Linked DNA regions of Astyanax mexicanus. The protein of the gene in region 1 purifies or fractionates together with the protein of each later gene. This does not show direct contact. Links are inferred from orthologs where the notes say so. Each region holds a gene or a part of one and is shown on either strand. Other genes may lie near its edges.

Region 1 (10,587 bases):
TTATACACAAACAATCGATTAACAACAAAAATACTTCTGGCAATACAAAATATAGCACTGAAGTTTTTAGAGTGAAGATTTCTACTTCACATGCATTTTATGCACCTTAAATATACACCAACAAGTCATGGTATAGCAGAATGTAAGCCAATCACTGAAGTGTTACCTCAGGGAATGGTTTCGGAACACCCACACCTGTGTAAGTTACCTTTTGCGTGAGGTTGAACACTGGCCAGCATGCTCATGGCAAGCAAGCGAGGCCTAATGTCAGGTGGCAAACAGATGAGACATTGTGTAGAAGCTGTGCGGGCATTTAAAATTCCTCAATCCACAGTGTTACATGTGTACCAGAAACATTTCACAGAAGGCATTACCATCCACAGTGGACAGAACAATAAGTGGTAATGATTGTGACCACTGGTGTTTGGCTAAAATTGTCTGTGTAAACAGGCAAGCGACTCCACAGGCAGAAGCAGAAGACCCCATATGCACATCCCAGAAGTCAGAGCAGAATTCTTTAGATTTAAATCACAGGCACCCTCCTTGTTCAAAGTTTTACAAATTGTAGACTCAAGAACACAGACGTTGGCCTGTACTAACAATGCCTTTAAAAACTGTCTTTCAGTGTTGTTTCTTTACCTCATTGATAAGTATTTTGTGCTCTTGGGGTGATTTTAACTGGGCACTTACGTCTTGGCAAAGTACCCACGGTCCCAAATTGTCTCTATTCGTAGATTATTTGCCTCATTGTAGACTGGTGAATTTCTAAAGATCTTTGAAATCATCTTGTAGCTGTTTTAGATCCTCCAAAGGTCTTTTGGCATATCATGGATTTAAACAGTCAAATAAGCTTAAGTCCACATCCCCAAACTAGCAAGAGTGTATTACTTGATTCTAATTAGCTTTTTTTAGGTAATTAATACAAGAACTTCCATACTTTTCCAACTAGCACTATAAAGTTTTTTTATGGTTATTATTGTATCTTTTTAAGCACATAATATTTGTTAATACTCTTGACTTGGAGGAGGATCTGAAATTCCAAAGGGTTAAAATACATTTTTCCCCTTATATTATACATACATTATACATTATATTTTTTTCTGTCTCTCACAGTTGAAGTGTTCCTATGATAAGAATGACTACTCCATTCTTTGTAGGTTTGGATTTTCCTAAACTGTATGTATGTATAATATGACATTGATTTTACTGGACTACTGAAAGTTTTTTATTAATATTTTGCTACAGTCTTCAAATCTTGCTTCTAGACACATAATTGGATACCTGAATACTTACCAGGCATCAATCCATCTGAACTGTGGGCCAGCAGTTTTCAGAGAGGCTGTGAGGATCATGCAGTGGCTGAAAGAGAGACATTGCAGAGACATGAGTGAACAGGATTGGTTTGAATGAATTCTGTGTACTTTTGGATTAAAGAAATCAAAAAACAGTAAATACTAAACCAAGCTTTACCAGAGCGATGTCCAGTGGCTGAGGTTAACGTCAAGACTAGGGATCGGCTCAACATCTAGCATAACCATGGCTTGGCAGGCGGGAAGGTCTAAAGTGAAGCAGTCAACCAGCCGAGGGAATTACAGGTAGCACAGGCTCCCCAGGCAGAGCAGCTCTGGCCAACATGATGACTTCATTACCTGAGGAGGACACAATAGAAAGAAACGTCTTGGTTAGCGTTTTAAAGGCATTTGGCTTATGCACAATTCTTATCCTTAGGCTTATTTATATCATTAATTTACATAGAACATGAGCAAACCATCAGCCTGCATATCTAGATACAGGACTCCTGCTGCTTATAAGGGACAGTTATAAAACAGTAGTGAAGATAAGTGTATATAAAAAAAAATACAATAATAATATTAAAAATAAATAAATAAAAAGTGACATCAAAAGTAAAATAGCATCCTGCATGACATTTATCTTGTATGGCATGAACACCAGGCTCTCTACAGACATTTAGTTTAAAAAAATCTGGCTTTAAAACATTATTTACTACCCCAGGCTTTAGTAGCTAGCCAGCTACATCTGTTAGCCAGGTTATGTGTTTTTTTTTTTTTTAAGAGTATGGGGCAAACCTGTGTTCTGGTTTTAGTTAGCTAAATGGCAAAAGAGCAGCAGCCAAATTCTTATATATTATATATGCAAATGACTAGACATAGCTAAAAAGCTAAGAATTCCTACTGGAAAATAACATTATGCGTTAGTTAAGCTGCTAAATAGTAGCAGACCACAAATCCAACCAAGTCCCTCTGGCCGTCCAGTGTTTTGTCGATTTGTGCTACCTCGTTAAATATATAAATATAGAAAAAGCTACCTAAATAAAACAGCAGGCAGGATATCTGACTGGCCTACAGCAGTAAAGATAAGGAAAGATAAATATAAACCAAGTGAGGTATTTTGTATTTTTATTTATTTATTTTTACTTGAAATGCCATTTACACTTTCGTAACATTAAAGCAAATAATAACCGTACAACAATAAACTCAGATTATATAATGCGCCCGCGGAAAACACAATCAGTATATATAAAAAAAAACGTTAACATTTAAGTGCCGTTGTTCAGCGCATGCGCAGAGACGCTGCGTAGCACAAATTGACGGGTAACACAAATCGACAGAACACCGGCCGGTGTTCTGTCGATTTGTGCCCCCCCCCCCTCCTTCATATTTTTAATGTTTTCACGTGTTTTTCATGTGAATTCCTTTTTTTCTCGTCGGCATTTAACAATTGCAGCTTACTAATATTATTGGCTCAAGTGTTACAAACGTAGAAATGACGATTAAAAAATACAAAAACACAATTTAACTATCATATCAATTAGCGTAAGCTCCCCTGATATAGCGTTAGGTTAGGTTGGCTAGTGAATTGGGCCACCCAAAAATCCTAATGATAAGATAACGTTATCTAGGAGCATTTTTGATATTCTGATACGATGCTTTCGCCATATAAGCCAGATAATACAAATAACTAACCAGGTTAGCGTTTTTTAGAACTTAAGCTTTAAAATAGCTAGCTAGTTAGATAAAAAATATATAACAACAGTAATTAATTAACTAGCACGTTTTAACGGGATGGCACAAAACGACGGAACACCAAGCTAGTCGCTCGGTCCGTCACAGAGCACACAACTGAAGCTAGCTAAATAGCTAACGCTAGCTACCGTAGATTCTTAATGAGTGTCTGCGTATGAGGATAAATATAGCTAGCGTTAGCTAACGTTAACGATACATAGCTAGCTAGCTTATCAAAATAGACAACACTAATTATCAAGCTAGTTAGGTTAGCTATACTGTGTCTATTTAGTTAGCTAGCTAGCTAGCTACCCTAGGTTTACTGACGATGGATGAACTGGTGTTCCTCAAAATAGCATCATATCAATGGAAGGCTATCCAGCTAGCCGAGAAAGACATCCTAGCCATAACCTAGCCCGTGATGAGCATTATTAGCTAACGTTATGTTGGCTGGGTGCTTGGCTACCTAGAAAGCAGCACAGGCCCACTAACGCCTGCAACCCTAGCTAAATCAGGACATACAGCGACGGCTTGGATAGACTAGCGTAGCTTAGCTTAACCAGTTGAGGCCAATAATGCAAAGCAATACATTTTACAATGCAAAAACACCGTGCACGATAAATAAATATCTAACTTATCTACCACACGATCGATTATCTTAATAGGGCTGATTGAACAGCCTGGCGTGTGTAATTCTGATAATAATTGATTGATATTTTAGCCACACAATAACACACATACATATACATATACAGCTGAAGACATGGAGGACATTTAACGATTCTGACTTACCTCGCCGCCGACGGAGACCAGCACAGCCGTCTCACACACAGGGCCCGTGGAGCCTAGCTGTTAGCTAACTAGCTAACCTAGCAAGTTGCTAGCCAGCTAACGTTGGTCTACCATTGCCTAGCTGCACAAGATCAAACAATTCAGACCAACAACTAGCTACGCTAGCCAGCTAGCTAGCGAACTAGCGGGCTACCCGTCCAGGGTACCCATGGCGTAACGTTAGCTATTGTCAATCCCCGTTCTCTACACCTAACACCAGCATACCGTTAAATCAACGTTGAAGACCCGCCGCACGCCGACGCGAACCACCCCCGCGAGCGGAGTGTGAGGAGCGATCTAACACAACACGAATATCTGCTATAAATTCGACATTTCACCGCCTTCCCATCGTCTCCCACTAGGAAAATAAGAACGCCCGTAGAAATCCAGTGGCTTCCATCTGCAGAGCCTCCAGCCCCCCCGCCCCCGCCGAAACACACCATGCAGACCCCCGTCCACGCCCTCTAGTGTTCCTCTATCAGGTAGCAGCAGCAGCACCACCACCACAGACAGTACACTGATAACAAGCAAGAGAGAGAACATTGATTTAACGTTAAAATATATTTTTTTTCGTTGCATTACATTAGCTTTTTGATGGGAAAAGACAACCTTTAAACAATCTTTTATTTAACACAGCCTAATTTTCATTGGTTAGTGTTTAACCCCTTAACATGCCTACAGGCTTCATTTATAAGTGTAATAAATAAATCTTATTATCTGCAGATTTAAAAATAGATGTACAAACTAGACAACCATAATGAAACTAAAGGTTTGAAGGACAAACTGTTCGATTTGCATTTTTAGTAAAATATTGAATTTAAAATAAAGTTCAGGAAAGAGACAACTTTATGATTTTATTTATTATATTTTGACATTAGCAGATTTACTTAAATATTTTCAATTACAATTATGTTTTTCAATAATGTTCCTTATCAAACATAAACGTTTTTCATGTGACGCTTGAATAGAAATCCTCAATATTTAGTGTTGTAATGTCAGGCAGACAATTGGCAAAAATCCTGGCCTGTGAAGGGGTTAAACTGTAACATTGATGACATTTTTATTGATTTATATTTAAATGTTTGACAGTGGTTGGGGCTTTGAATCTACACTGCAAAAACACAGTCCAGTGGGAAATAAATGCCATTAAGGACAAAAGCTTAGGCCGTGCCACAGGGTCCTATATTAACACACTTTTCTAAAAAAAATAATGGCTATATATGTTATGTTAAAATGTTAATTTTGATACATTTAGGATGCACCAGGGTCCCTGTTTCAGCCGTATATATGCCCATTGAAAATTAATTTTAGTACAATGTAAATAGATTAAAAGGGAAAAAAAGGGCTTGTAGAAAGTGCTAAATAAAGTTAATTTGACTATCGTCTGTCAAACTGAAAACACTGAAGGACACTACTGCTAGTTTTTCACCTTTTAAACTTTTGTGTACCAATGGTTGCTCCCCCACCCCTTGGCCCTCTTGACTTTATGAATTACCAAGGCAAACATTTAACATATCTTTATTGGTTTTGCTTTCCACTACTTTTAAAGTCATACAAAAATACTCAAATTTCAAAACAAGGCTAACAATCTTCCCCCAAACAACCTGACTACAGTGAAACAGGGAGACGAGGAAAACTCACAAAATCAAAACAGCAAAAAAAGTGCCTTTAGGAAAAGAAGTGTCTATACTAGTGAGGGAATATCCAGTGAAGGAACAAAACACGAGCAAGTAGTGAAAAAAAGAAAAGTGCAAATTTTAGTGGTTTCAACAGTTAAGTGATCTGAATTACAGGGGTTTTGATGCAAAACTACCATCAGCGTGCTCAGTGTTCAACATTAAGATCCAAGTACATGTTTGATCATATCTTAGACGCCATTCCTGGGTCATTATTTATTCCTGGAAAACAAGCTTTACACATGGTCTACACAAGACATCATGGTACAATCAGTAAAATCGCCAAAGTGGCTGTTCACTCTCCGGGGCAACTTCGCTGCGTGCATGGTCAGTCTCCAAGAGAAATCGCAGCCATCCAAGGACATTCTCCTCAGCAGTTAGATGACTATTAAAGGAATAGCCCAGTCCAGAAGTCTGGCTTTGCTGGCCTGTTAAATCAGCCTGTAGGTAAATAAGAACATGCATCAGGACACCCTATTCATACAAACACAATAAATCAACTTTTCTGTTCTACTTACTTGAGGAGCAAGAGGCTTCCAGAAGCCATTGCCTAAGCCTTCAGTAGGTTGAGAAAGTACAGAAGCACTTGAGTCAGATACATCCAACGTCCTTTCCTTTTCTTCTCCCAGCTCAGTATTCATTTTCTCAAGCAGGTCCTGCCTAAGAGAATTAGCATGCAACAGGTTAACCTTAAAACTCCTTAAAAAGGTCTTATGCTGTATTCCATTTGAACCAAAGAAGAATTAGCTAGATCCAATTAGGAAATGTTCACAGATCAGATTTATTTATTAGAAGTGTTCAGAGAACCCCACTAACCAAGAATTCATAATCCAAGATGGCTGCAATGCAAGTCAAGAGTAATAAAAGCGTCGTATTAAATAGTTTATCACCAAGTCTATACATTAGCGTCTCATAAAATCAGTTGCTGTACTGTCCGTATTCCATCTATCTACAGACATGATTTCATGGTACTCAAATTAAATACTGCACAATGCCAACCTGGGACAATGTTAATGATAAATCAAACCAGTTGCAGTAAACTCCAAAGGCTATAGCTGACTTTTTTTTTTTTTTTTTTTTAAATAGTGAAACATTATCTAAAATATTTTATGGCATACTGGAATGCTCCAATCTGGTGTCAAGTAATTCTCAATTCAAACAGCTGAGGTAAATGGAACACAGCACAAGTCTTCAAACATAAGACTACATCTGCAGAATGTTTATGATCTAAATTTAACATCACACAATACAATACCAGTCCTACACATACAGTTGATCAACTGGGTCTTGTCCTTCATTGTTCCCTTGGGAAGTCAAAGGTGGGTCCCAAGCATGTAGCGCTCTCCGCCAAAGCCTGACTTGCATGTCCCAAGACCGTCGGCTGTACTTGCGGTATTTGTTTGGAGTGGAAGGGTGAAACCCAGGGATGCGAAGGCGCCTAAAAGTTATAGCACAGAGAAAAAAAAAGCTAGTAATAAGTAAAAAAACAAGCCTAATTATCTTAAGGCTAGTAAAAAGGTATGTAGGTCTGTAGGTCTGTTCTTACTTTGGAACGTGCTTCAGATAGTTCTGGTAGCCACAGGTGTTCTTTCCATACTGAATTTGCTTCTGTCTGCGCTTCAAAACCGACTCGTTGGTCTCAAAATGAGATGGGTCCATATTTTGAGTACACCATCGGAGTCTTGACGGTGACCTAAGAAGGTTTGTTAGCTTTGATAACCACAGAGAAATCCACATCCTAGAACAGGCTTCACAATATTAGTCACCCTAACAAATTGCACATTTCAAAGTCTGCACCTGACCTCTTGATATCATCTAGATCCTCTGTCCCAACAGCCACATTAGCTGTAGATATCTTGAGAATGCACCTCTCAAGAATAGAGGATCTACTTAGAGTTGTAAAGAGGGAAAAAAAAAATAAAAATTAGCACTGAGGCCATGCATAATCAAGACATAATTCACAATATTCTTAATTATAGAGCTGATAAATAAAGTCAAGACCTGCGAGGCTTGGACATGATGGAGGAGGTGGTATTCCTTTCTTCACTTACAGAGGACGGCCTTGGGGTTCTAGAGCTATTCAAATGCACAGCAATACAGAAAAACAAACAGATTTTATAATTAACCACAAAATACAAAGCATTACAATGTCCGTTCAAAACAAAAGTGCTTGGTGCTCATTTGTTCTTTAAAACAAACGGCTTAAATCTTTACCTTCTTACCTGACCAGGCTGTCATACACCGAGCTGCAACCTGGGAGAAGCCATGGCTCTGGACTGCCTGGCTCAAGAGGTGGTCTGACCCTCAAATCATGAGGTAACTCTGGAATGTTTGGCCACAAGGGAAGAGACAGGCCCCTAAAATTAAATTAAACAAAAGGAAACCAGATTAAGATTAAATCCCAAAGTGTTCTACACTCAGCAACAACACACAGAAGTAAGTAAGTCTACTGGACCTTGACTCCAAAGGGCTATGAAGTGCAGTTTCAATCCGTGCTGTCATGCTGACTCTGCCACCTAGTATGCCGCATAGTTTGAAAGACCTTTAAATCAGCATCAGGTGGATAAGGGGCGGGGCTACACAATTAACCCACGTGTTACGTAGCCGGTCAAATTGACCCCTTTTAAAGTAAAGTTAAAAAAAAAAAAAAATACAGGCACAAGCACGGTGTTTGGATCATATACAATATTGACTAGAGCCCACAAAAGGAAAAATAAATTAAAGTAAACACTTTTTTTTTTCATCAAAATAGAGGCACAATATAGTTGTACTAAAAAAGTTAATTATAATAAATTAACCATATTTTACTTGAAAACCAAAATTCCAAATTTGATTACACTAAATATTGTTCACATTAAATAGGTAATATGTTAAAAGCCAATGTTTCTTGGAAAAACGCACTGGCTCAATCTGGGTTAATATTACTAACATAACAGTATTAAAGACAGCATAGCCAGCAGAAGCTCTGAAAATTAATATCTGTTAATGTTTAACTTAATATACACATGAAGGATTATACATATTATACATATCATCAAGTAGTCGTCTGTACTAATTGTAATAATTGATCACAAACAAATGTTGTTGTATTCACGTTTTGTTTTTCTAAACAATATTTTATCCAATTATGTATTCCACTTACATTGTTTTATCATGCTATTGTGAAGTCAAAAGAAACTGCTCCTTTAAGTAGCAGTGTTTAGTAGTATCTTGTATTCCCATTATAATAACCTGAACTGAATTTGTATTGGTGCATTTTTTTGTAAGGATGTTGTTTATTTTAAATAGATAAACGGTGCACAAAATAGTAACACATATCCATAACTTAAATGGAAATCGTATTTGATAATTACTGACATATTTAAAGAATATAATTTTTTGAAATGACAATATTGAAAATAGGCATGTTTATTTGTATGTTTGTTCACATATATAGCATTGAACTGTATTTAAGGCTCCATACACACAGTGTGGACTGCAGTAGGTGAAGAAAAAAATAATTTATTTCCCAAACTATTATTAATTGCAATCATAGTCTTACAAGGCTATAAAAGTGTTGCTTTTATCCTTTATCACAATCATTTCTTGGATGGTATATTGTCCACAAAAAATGTCAATGCCTATGAAAAAAACTAACATTTTTTTTACATTTTATTTTATGTTGTATATATTGTGTTCTTTTTGCATACTAATTGGAAACATGCAGCCACGTTTTTCATTCTCCTGTACATCTGTACTTATTTGATTTGTATGTTCTTTCTGAATGGGTGGGTGTTTGCCTGTTACTTGTTTATAGTATTCTTATTTATTTTATTGTATTTATTTATTTTACCTTTTTCAGCAAACCGTGTGTGAGAAGTTGTGTAGATTGAAATAAATGAGACAAATTAACACAGAACTCACCTTCACTTTAATCACACAGTTCCCACAGAGCTTTTATTTTGCCTTGTTGTTTTTCTCCAGACAGGAAGAAGATCTCGTTGGTCAGCAACATGGCGTCAGGCAGTGGGGTGAGTTATATTGTTTTTTTTTTTTTATTAGTTATATTAATGTCTGCAAGGTTATATCTGTTTTAATGTATTCAGTAAATGCTGTAATTGATAGACTGTAACATAGCCGGCTGAATAAACTATAAACTACAACGTTACCGTGCTAAAACACGCTCCTGTGGCCATTAGCTTAGGTAGCTAGCTAGCTAAGCTAACTAAACATTTGTCAGTGTTCAGTGAAAATTTAATGATTTATCCAACAACAGTTATAGATCTGTAATGCTGTTAAAGGAGCTGCTGACAATAACTGAATATCTAAACCATATATGTTGTAGGCGTTATATAGCTGGCATGTTAGACAACAGGTTATTGTCACGGTGTTTTATTGTTTATGGATACCCAGCTAGCCGTGGCTACCCTAACTAATTAGCGAATAATCTCCAAATCTCTTTTTTTTTTTGTAGTCTAAGAACGATTTTAGGCGCAAGTGGGACAAAGATGAGTATGAACAGCTGGCACAGAAGCGTCTCACGGAGGAAAGAGAGAAAAAAGATGGTGAGTACATTCATATAGTTTATATAGTGCACTACTGTACTGTACTATATTCACACTTTCACTGCCTATTGTTTGGAAATCCTGATATGACATGGTATATATATATATATATATATATATATATATATATATATATATATATATATATATATATATATACCATATTTTCTTTACATAAAAAATGGTGAGCACTAGGAAGTATGTTCACTGGTCTGTGCATGGCTTCACAGACTGCTACATTGCGCTGTGCTGTGTTACTTGGTGTGTGGTGAGCACTAGATACTAAGTGGTAAGCACCAGATAGTATGTTCACTGGTCTGTACAGGTCTGCACATTGCGCTTTGCTGTTCCACTTAGCCACTTTACCAAAAGTGGGGACGATAAAAAAGTGTCTACCTTCTATCGTCTCTATCGTTTCTACAGTAATTTCATCAATTATTCATGCAAATATATAAAGTAGGCTACGATGAAATGTATTAGCGTGGTCACTTTGCATAAACTCTGTTTATATAA
Region 2 (10,370 bases), on another chromosome or scaffold:
ATTTATCCGGCGAGTTAGCGTTAGCTTTCCTAACCCAACATAGCTAAAGCTAACTTACCTAACTAACTAGCAAGTTATGTGGTGAATTTATAGAGCCGTTAGCGGTTAGCCCGCACTGAGGTCCTGTGACAGAAGGATAGTTGGGTGTTATAGTGCCGATTAAGCGAATTTTTAACGCATAAAGAGGAATATTTACCTGAGAGAAGTGTAGAAACCCGTAGTTAAACTACAGAACCGAACACTGTTCATACCTGCTGCTGCTCTCTGTCGCCATAACAAATCTCCCGCTACTTCTCTGGGCAGGGAAGAGTAATGGATGTCAGATCGTTTTTTAATTATTATTTATTTCGATATACTTTTAGTTTTAATATAATGAACTCAGTTCTGCTGATCTGTCACTGTGTTTAAATAGGACACTGTTTTTTAAACATTATTTAATCCACTATTTTATTTTCTCGGGTCTCAACTATTGTAGTTTTAAATGCGAGGCATTTCAGCGCAGTCACGTCGAAAAAAACTACAACTCCCATGGTGCCGTCACAATTCTCCGCAGGGAAAATAATAGAGAAAAGAGCAGCAGGATACGGGATACCGTTCACCTTACACTTTAAAGTAGTATTATAGCTACACTATATATTTCCTAATGCTTATGGACACCATATGTGTACAGATGAATAAATGCACAAACTTAGCTTGTTCAGACCCAGCAGAGAAGATCTGCCAACAGAATAGGGACAGAACAGGAGACTCTGTGGAACAAAGGAACAAATATTAACTTGTTGATTACTCATTGGTTTCAGCTGCAGCAACACTGCGTTCTGATCCACTCCTTTACGCACACCCCAAAGAATAACAGAACTTTACCTTTTGGCTATTATATAGTACATTTTCTGCACTTAAGTATTACAAAAGTTTATTGTAAACTGTGTTACTGAAGTACTAAAAGTAAAAATACAGTACTGTGTTATGTAGTTACAGTACGTACTGAAAGCAGTGAAAAGTTCCCAGGGTGAAAGTTCAGAATGGGAGCAGTGTTGTCTTCTTCTAAGATTAGCTTGATCTCTTGGTTCCTTCAGCGATGAGCAGCTTTATCAAACCCGGTGACAATGCAGAGCATCTACCACTGATAATGGCTGATAATGTGTGAAATAATGCATTTTCAAATCGCTGGGCTTGTTTATTTGTAGGACCGCGTCTATGTCTGTGTGCCTATGGGATCCAGTGCCCCCCAGTGGTGTTTAATGACTAGTTAGCTAACCTAGCTAACTAGATAACCTAGCTAACTCTAATGCTAACACTAAACCAGACTTATCAATCTAGCTTACTTTAACTAACGCTAACACTAAACCGGACACTTATCAAACTAGCTAACCTAGCTAAACTAGCTAACATATCCGTGTTACCTGCGTTACCTGCCTCTGAACAAGTTTATCTTCCTAAAGATCTTGGTAACAAGACACATGCCACAAAATATTTTTTTTCACATATTTCGAGTTTTGTTTTTCATGGTAGTGTAGCTGAACTTATCCCATAAATCATGTTTATTCAGAAAGTGGGAGAGGAGGAGCTGCTGTGTGAATCGGCTGTGTGGGGTATAGAGTAAGGGCCTTGGGGGAACCGGTCATAAATTTATAAAACGAACTAAGTTTTTTGAAGTTTATAGAATTAATATCTTACCAGGGATGGTCATGCCAACAGAATCATAACAGTAATTAGGTTGTTTTTCCTCTACCAGCACTGGAATACTATTGCTTTCAACTGAAAAGAAAAAAATCATAAGACTGACACTTAAAACAAATCTTTTTTGAGCGGCTGCCCTGTTGTATAAAGCAAATGTCATCAGTAGTGAAGAAAAGTATTTCATCAGCCCAACTCCAAGTATCTGCCCCAAAGCAGTTGTGACAGGTAGAGTTTGCCAAAAGTGGTTGAAATCTGGTACTAGAAGAGACTTGTGCAACGCTGCTTTAGGATGTGAACAGACATGTTTACAACAAAGCTAGTAATGACTGAACTCTCCATATTGGCCAGACTCAGTGGGTTATGAGGCATAGAGCAAGATCTCACTCACTGCACTGCATAAAAACATAATCTGGGTTAATGGAGTGTATGTTTACCAGCATCAGGAAAATCTGCAAAGACTAAAATCAAGAAGAAAGTTAGTGGTCATTCCTTTTTTTAGGCTACTGTAAACAAAACAGCATTTTAGATGTGCAACACATTCCAGAATTAAAATTGTTACATGCCTTAAAACTTAACTATGCAAAAAAAAAAGGCTTATATTAAGTTAGAAGCCATGGGTGAGTCTAAGCTCTAGGTTCTGAGCACCTAATGAACACAGCCTCACTGCACAGGAGGGGTGCGTGTTTCATATCAAAAGAAATTCCTTTAGATTCAAATCAGACACACAAACTATTATGCACAGAGGACATGTGTTACTTTCATTCTAAAACATGTATTCACCAAATGCACGCACACACACACACACACACACACACACACACACACACCAGGTGGGACATTACCTGAATCTTTTTCTGTTATTCTTTAACATTAATTAGCTGTTACACAAACAGGCAGTACTAGTCTAGCACACTGTCTTTAATATTAACACACAGAGCAACTAATGGCAGCAGAGCAAGTCTCTTGCACACACAACAGTGGACAGTGGCTGATAATCAGTCTATAGCATAAGCTAAATAATAAAAGTCTCAGATATTAACAGCATATAGAGTGCTGCTTAATTTTGTGTGTGTGAGAGAGCAAAATAAAAAGTTACTATTTGCACTGCATGGTATTTTCATTAATAAAATTCTGTTTAATAGTCAACTTTCTAAGATGTTTATATTTTTAGCTCATGAGACATAAACTTTAATCTGAGAAACAACAAAAACAATACTTTTTGCAGTGCTGGGTCAGCTATGCCACCAGTGGCATCAATGTATGTGGACTTGGAAGCATCTGGGGTGGACCACCACACAGTGGTAATGTGTTCTTTTCCAGAAGAAAGAATTCCATACTGGATCTGCAGGTAAGGCAAAATAGGATTTTGACACAACACCAATTATTTTATCTTCTGTATTGTTTAAATGTTGATGTTCTATAGAGACGTCTGTGCATTTTTAAACAAGACAATGAAAAAAAACACTTGCTGCACACATTATTACAAAACATGGTCATGGAAGAAGTGGGTATGGATACTGGACTGGCCTGGGTGCAGGCCTAACCTGTTAACAATAGATAGATCAATTAGAAACAGAAAAATGCAACAATGACTTTCTTGTAATGTTGTCAGGAAGAATGGGACAAAATACCACCTAAAACATTTAATTGCCTGGAATGCAGCACCTATAAGGAATTGCATTAATACAAAGCAGGTGTTACAGGCATGAAATGCAGGAATGGATGCATAGCCTTACCAAACATTAAACATCTTGGGTTCATTCTGTCTGCAATCAAATGAGATGAAAGTGAGAATAGAAGTAAAAAACACTGCATGTTTTGGGGGGGTTATGCATTTTACATACCATCTCAACTTTGTTTTAAATTAAAGGTTGTACATAGTCAGCAGGTAAACCTGTCAGACACCTGGACCCTCGTTACTGAAGTACCACAAGCTTGTGTGCACTCGTGCCTTCTGTTAAATCTGTACACCAATCACTGTGTTTCCAAGGAACCATCCATGACAACCATGATGTTTGTAGATCATGTCACTGTGGTCAACCTCCAAACCAAGAATGAAGAGTCTCCTTACAGAAAGGAAGTCAAGCAGCTGGTGTCTTGGTGCAGTCCAGGCCACCTGTTGCTGACCCCACAAATGACCTGATGTGGTGGTAGACTTCAGACACACTTACCTTCACTCCCCCTCTTCTGTGGATTTACATAAGTGTCTGGGCATCACCCTCTTCAAGGACCTGAAGGGGGATGGAACATGGTCTCCAGAGCGCAGCTTTGTGAGACAGCCTGAGCAAATTCCACTTGCCACAGACCCTAAGGACCCATCCCTACATAGCCATCATCATATTTATTTTCACATCATGTTCATTCATTCATTAAATCCTCTTTACTAGAATGAGACACATTCCAGTGCATTATCAGTATAGCAGAGAGGATGGCTGGGTGTATTCTGCCAAAACTTCAGTATTAAGATATCAGCAAGGTCAAGAAGTGCACTTGCAAGATTATATCTGTCCCCTCTTGTCCTGGTGACCCCCTCCTTCAAACACTTCCCTCTTGTAGAAGATTAAGAGCTATCAAAGCTAGCACAAATGCCGCTAACATGTCATCAACTGTAGAAAAAGACCTGGCAACTCTCTCTTTTTCATGCACAGTTTACAGCTTAAGTTAATGTATTATTTTCTTCTGAATATTTGTTAATAGCATGTGTATCTGTTCGTTCTGGACTGGGTTTTCCTACAGTGTAAGTAAGTAAGTAAGAACACAGATTATTCCTAACTCTCTCTCTCTCTCTCTCTCTCTAAGATTAACCTAATCCTGAGGTTCTGTTTAGACGACAGTATGGCACACATCATCATTCCATGCATGTGATTTCAAGAATATAATAATAATAATTTTATTATTCTAAAAATTTTAAATGGCCATTTATGTACATAAATGTAAAATTATAAATATTACTTTTTTCTTCTTTTTGTTTTGCTATTGATTATGGTCTATTTATCTTTAAGTAAACAAAACTAATCTTTAAAAAATTATCAATAATTAAAAAAAAGTTAAAAGTTATTTTATTGTATCAATAAATATTGTATGGTTTATGTGTTATACTGTGTTCTTATTATGTCTGTTTATTCATTGACAGACAAAAGTTACAACCAAAATATGTTACAAATACAGCACACGTTTTCAAAAAACTATATATATATATACATATACATTTTAATAATAACACATTTTAAATGTGTAATATTTAAATATATATAACTGAACAGACATAAAAGTGAAAATCATAGTTGTCAATTTCATTTCATGGATAAAATATTTTTTTTCCAATTTAAATGAATAGATAAAACAAGTAGCAAGTATCCTTACTGCAGTCATTATAATAAAATAAAATACAAAATGGACAATAAAATTATATATTTTATAGTGTTTAGTTTTGACCCATATCCTAAATGGGATCATTTCTAAAAATATTTGAATGGACACAGTTAAAGAATACTATATGATGTTTAACACATATATACAAAACCTTATTTTAATGAATGTAAACAACTGTTAGCTTTCGAGCCCTGAGGACTTTAATATACGACACATTTTAAAGCAGCACATCTCCCATGATCCTTTGCCGCTATCGCCTGGATTTCAAATCGCGAGAGCCAATCACAGGCGGGTCCGTGGCCACAGCCAATCAGAGGCGGTGCTCCGGCGAGAGCCAATCAGAGGCGGCGATAACGAATAAGGGCCGAATTTAAAAATGTTGTGTTGGTGCTGCGCTGAGAGACGCTGAGCGGGGACGGGGGTTGTAGAGAGAAGAAGCGGACAGGCGGACAATTTAGCGAGTTTCTGTTTAAAATACCCCGCTTACATTAACAGAAACTGGTGTACCCGAGTGGATTTGTGCTGGCTTGTGTGTTAAACCGGTTCAGGCGCGCTTAGTTCGGTTAGTTTTTATTCGAATTGCTCGGCCGGGCGGCTCGCCCTGTCTGTCCGGGTCTGAACTCGCTGTTTTCTGTTAGCAGTGTCGCAGAGATCCGTGTTTTGTTCGTGTTTCTCTTTAAATTAGCGTTATTTTGAGAGCGTATTCAGTATGAGCGCTGCAGTGGCGAAGGCGCCGAAGCCTTCGGTCAACGTAGACCCGAAGTCTGCGCCCCTGAAAGAGATCCCAGACATCCTGGTGGATCCGCGGACCATGAAGCGCTACATGCGGGGCCGGTTCCTCGGGAAAGGCGGCTTCGCTAAGTGCTACGAGATCACAGACATGGAGACGAAGGAGGTGTTCGCCGGTAAAGTGGTGCCCAAGTCTCTGCTGATGAAGCCGCACCAGAAGGAGAAGATGAGCACGGAGATCGCGATCCACAAGAGCCTCGACAACCCGCACGTCGTGGGCTTTCACGGCTTCTTCGAGGACGACGACTTCGTGTTCGTGGTGCTGGAGATCTGCAGGAGGAGGGTGAGTTATCCTCGCTTAGTTTAGCTGAGTGGGAGTAAAATATAAAGTGATTTTTTAAAGCTTTAGAAACACGTAATAACTGAGGCTAGCTTCACTAGCAAACTGGCTAATCTATCAAACCTAGCTTAAGTTAGCTGTCTCTCAGTCCTCACCAACGGTCGAATTCCTCAGTGAGGGTTAGTTAGCATTAGCCGGTTAGCTAACTGTTTGTTAGCTCTGAGAGGTGTGAAACCTCACTACTGTAAAGTTTAAATGTCATGAATATTATAACAGTGAGAAATTGGTGTCTGTAAGTGGGGTTAAAGTGTTTGTGGGTGTTTTTAAGAACCGTTTTGACCGGCTGTATCCGAGCCTCCTTTCCGAGATGTGGATTTTAAATGTGAGGATGTGACGTCAGAACCTCGACCGAGATGTTTGAAAATTTTCGTGAACTTTTTTTTCGCCCGTCAAAATCGTTAAATATAGTAAATAATGCTCAAGTTTCCACTTGAGAAGTATTTATAATACAGCATATTATAAATGCTATATGAAATACTTTTGTCTTGTTGGTGTTTCCTGCTGGTGTTTTCTCCTTTTTATTAGCTAACTTATCTGTTCTTCCTATTTATTATGTTTTTAACTAACCTAGATATATTGAGTTATATATATTTGCTGTTGTGGTGGAGTCGAAGTTGAACTTTAAGTCGCATTGTAATTTAGTAAAATGTAAAAAAAAATCACCATCTTTGTGCAGGGATTGTATGGTCATGAAAAACCTGGAAAAAACTTAAATATCAGTTTCCAGACCTAAATTAGTTTTGGAATACTAAAGAGAATTTTGAAAGTCATGGTCTACAAATCTGTTTCCATTTATGTATGGAGTATCTATTTCGAGCTAAGAAATGCCTCAGCTCAAAGTTTTTTTAAGTAATTTAGCCCTACACAGTAGAGCTTTTTGATTTTTTTTTTTGTTATTATAGTTTTGTAATTGTATTTTCTTTAGATGCATGTAAAAATACATTTAGGCTGTGTAACTCATGCAGTGGTAGGGTATTTTTTAAATAAAGTGTTTAGTTTTTACAGTAATGCATTTATGAACGTTTCCAGTTTTGCTGTAGATGCAGCAACTGGCTGGGGCACAGCCTTGACCTATTAGACACTTTTGACATGTTTAATTTCTTTTTTCTTTTAGAAACATGGAGAGAAATGACATTAGGTTATTTTATTTTTGCAGTTTGAAGGTGTAAAACATAGTTTTGTCAATTTCCATATCCCCTAAAGCTGCAAGTTTGTAACACGACAAGTTTTATTGTCAGGATTATATTTATCTTTAAGTAAGCAAAAACGTTAACACTATCAACAAGCTTTTTGTAATAGCCCTACAGCAGTGTCCCTATGCTGCTTCTTTGCTGATAATTATTTTATTATTTTAATATTTTTTTCCCCTTCCATTGTTCTTCTGTTAGTCTCTTCTGGAGCTGCACAAGCGCAGGAAGGCAGTGACTGAGCCTGAAGCAAGGTACTTCATGCGGCAGACAATCCAGGGAGTTCACTACTTGCACAACAACAGAGTTATTCATCGTGATCTTAAACTTGGAAATCTTTTTCTTAGCGATGATATGGAGGTGAAGATTGGTAAGCAGGCAAATTTGCTCACAACTTTTTGCCTAAAGTACAGTTCGACTTTACTCGTTACTTTATCCTATAACGCTTTGTTCTCTCCCAAGGTGATTTTGGTCTGGCCACTAAGATTGAATTTGATGGTGAGCGGAAGAAGACCCTGTGTGGCACTCCAAACTACATAGCCCCTGAGGTGCTGTGTAAAAAAGGGCACAGTTTTGAAGTTGATGTCTGGTCACTGGGTTGCATTCTGTAAGTCTGCTTCAGAATTTCTTGTGTTTTTACATTTTAAAAATGTTTATTGAACACTTTTTTTTTATATCCCAACATTTGTATGTACAAACAAAGCATATTGTTTCTCAGCATTGCTATTCTCATCATAAACTTGCATCATATCTGCAATTTTTAGGTTGTGCATGACTTCTGGCCACTTCACCATCACCATGACTTCACCATTATAGTGGCGTCTACAAGCAGGCTTTAAATTCACACATTACTAATCATAATGTTTCTGTTAGGTACACACTGCTGGTTGGTAAACCTCCATTTGAGACGTCATGCCTAAAGGAGACATATGTCCGCATCAAAAAGAACGAGTACTCTATCCCCAGGGTTGGTAACACTTCTAGTTCTTCACACTTTGATGCTTAGCTCCAGTTTGTGGCGGCTTCTAAAGGTTGTTTAAGGATTACATACGGTGCAACCCCGTAGTGTGCTGATGGAGAATAACAAAAAAGTTGGTGTCCTTAATGCTCACGTGTTGCTCAAGAACTTTGTTGCCACCTGAGGGGTCACCTGAGGTGATAATTGGCTTGGGTCTTCTGTATGGAAGTGATGTATGATATTTAATTTGCATGAGGGCAATGGGTTCTTTACCTTAAGGTACTGTTAGAAAACCTGTAGTTCCCAAACATTTGTGGATGTCCAAGTGACGTAAATTATGTTTTGGACATTACGAAAAATCAAGTAAACTTACTCCAGCTACAATGCTTGATATCTGAATTTTACAGAAGTCTACAAGGAGAGTGCTACACTAACACTGCTAAACAGCCAGTCTCGCAGAAATAATAAACGCTCCATTGCCCCGAAAAAGACAGTACCTAACAAAACCGCACCAGCCAGGAAAATTAGCTATGAGCTGTCTTGGCGTTAAACTACTTACTGACATCATTTAAAAAAAATATATTTAATTCATTACAATTTTTGATCTGATTGCTTGTTGGCATTACACTGACAATAACTTTCACTTTTTTTTTTCTTTTCTTTGTAGCAAATTAATCCAGTGGCGGCTTCACTGATTCGTCGAATGTTGCACGCAGACCCTACTCTCCGACCCTCAGTAGCAGACCTGCTTACAGACGAGTTTTTCACCTCGGGATACGTTCCCCTCAGGCTTCCTACCTCTTGCCTTACTGTGCCTCCCAGGTTCTCCATCGCCCCATCTAGTTTAGACCCTGGCCTGCTCCGTAGACCTCTCACTGCATTGAATACTGGTATGCTTGTCTTGTTTATTTTAGTGTGAATCGTGTGCCTTTAGGTTAAACAGTGAATGAATTTTTCTTCATTTTAGTTTAGCAGGTTAAAAAAAAATTAAAAACGGGGGTTCCTCACTTAAAAAAAAAAAAATTATAAATAGAATAAAAAAAACTATTGTAATATCAATTCTCAAAGTACATTGAATCATCATTAGTTATTAATCATAAAATGTGGGTGTGAGGGTTTTGCATAAGCAGCCATTGCAGCAAAACTTTTTCTAGTAGTGCCATACTTTTAAAGGTTTGTCCAAATACACGCCCATATTTACCACATTCCTCTTTATTCAAAATGCATTGCACTTCACTTGAAGAAACTGAGCTAATTATGTTGTGTGTTTAAAATGTGCATTAGGTCTGCTCTTTAAGCATTTACACTATGCTTTTCTGGGCATATCAAAACTCTATCTTGTTGCATTTTCAAAAATTACTACCCACACAGATTAGAAATCCAGTTGTATGGCTTCTTTTCTGACACCTTTTCTGCTTTATTATGAACAGATAGCCCAATTGAGAAGATGGGAAAAGGAGACCAGCCACAAAAGGAGGAGCTTCAGCAAAGGTAGGACTCCTACTGTTTCCTATTACAATGATTTTCTTTATTTACCCCACTTGTGTTGTACTTTTACCCCAAACTGTTGAACAATATACCCCTCTTTTGATTTAAACATTTGAATAATTGTCTTTTGGAAATAAATATTTGTAAATTAGTCAAATAAAAAGCAATATGGCAGAACAAGTGAAAAGAACGGATCATTTATATGGAACAGTACAGGTGCTGGTCAACGAATTAGAATAATTTGAAATAGTGCAATCATGAAATTCTTTGAATGCATTTTCTGTGCAGAAAGCAAATCAGGTGTTCGCCGCACCTGTCCTACTCGTTAGACTAATCACAGAACTGGTTACCTGGAAAAACAGTCTCAGTATTTTGTGGCTGCCCCCTTGGCTTGTATGACTGCCTGAAGTCTCCGCGGCATCGATTTGACCAGCTTGTCGCAAGTTTCCGCACTCACAGCTTCCCAGGCAGTGGCGATGTTCTGCTTCAGTTGGTCCAGCGTAGTAGGCTTTCTGTCGCGAATTTTCCGCTTGACGATGGCCCAAAGGTTTTCAAT

What was found.
Region 2: the proteins of fam53c (region 1) and plk1 purify together in Homo sapiens (affinity purification with mass spectrometry; 3 studies listed by BioGRID and IntAct, counting the BioPlex papers as one, with this or other methods). This does not show direct contact. The link is inferred for Astyanax mexicanus from reciprocal best matches to the Homo sapiens genes FAM53C and PLK1.

What each region holds. Positions count from the first base shown.
Region 1 is NC_064424.1:10,760,885-10,771,471, reverse strand, and holds the start of fam53c (protein FAM53C), read right to left. Parts: upstream 4,284-10,587; 5' UTR 3,816-4,283; intron 1,650-3,815; 5' UTR 1,471-1,649; intron 1,360-1,470; 5' UTR 1,301-1,359; coding exon 1,294-1,300; intron 1-1,293. Other genes in the region: slbp2 (stem-loop binding protein 2), read right to left, coding at 5,801-5,971, 6,049-6,190, 6,801-6,968, 7,077-7,223, 7,333-7,419, 7,532-7,606, 7,753-7,887, 7,986-8,032; zmat2 (zinc finger matrin-type protein 2), read left to right, coding at 9,523-9,540, 9,984-10,074.
Region 2 is NC_064428.1:16,133,016-16,143,385, reverse strand, and holds the start of plk1 (serine/threonine-protein kinase PLK1), read left to right. Parts: upstream 1-5,431; 5' UTR 5,432-5,761; coding exon 5,762-6,124; intron 6,125-7,569; coding exon 7,570-7,738; intron 7,739-7,830; coding exon 7,831-7,975; intron 7,976-8,241; coding exon 8,242-8,335; intron 8,336-8,993; coding exon 8,994-9,216; intron 9,217-9,756; coding exon 9,757-9,817; intron 9,818-10,370. UniProt on the Homo sapiens protein: Serine/threonine-protein kinase that performs several important functions throughout M phase of the cell cycle, including the regulation of centrosome maturation and spindle assembly, the removal of cohesins from chromosome arms, the inactivation of anaphase-promoting complex/cyclosome (APC/C) inhibitors, and the regulation of mitotic exit and cytokinesis.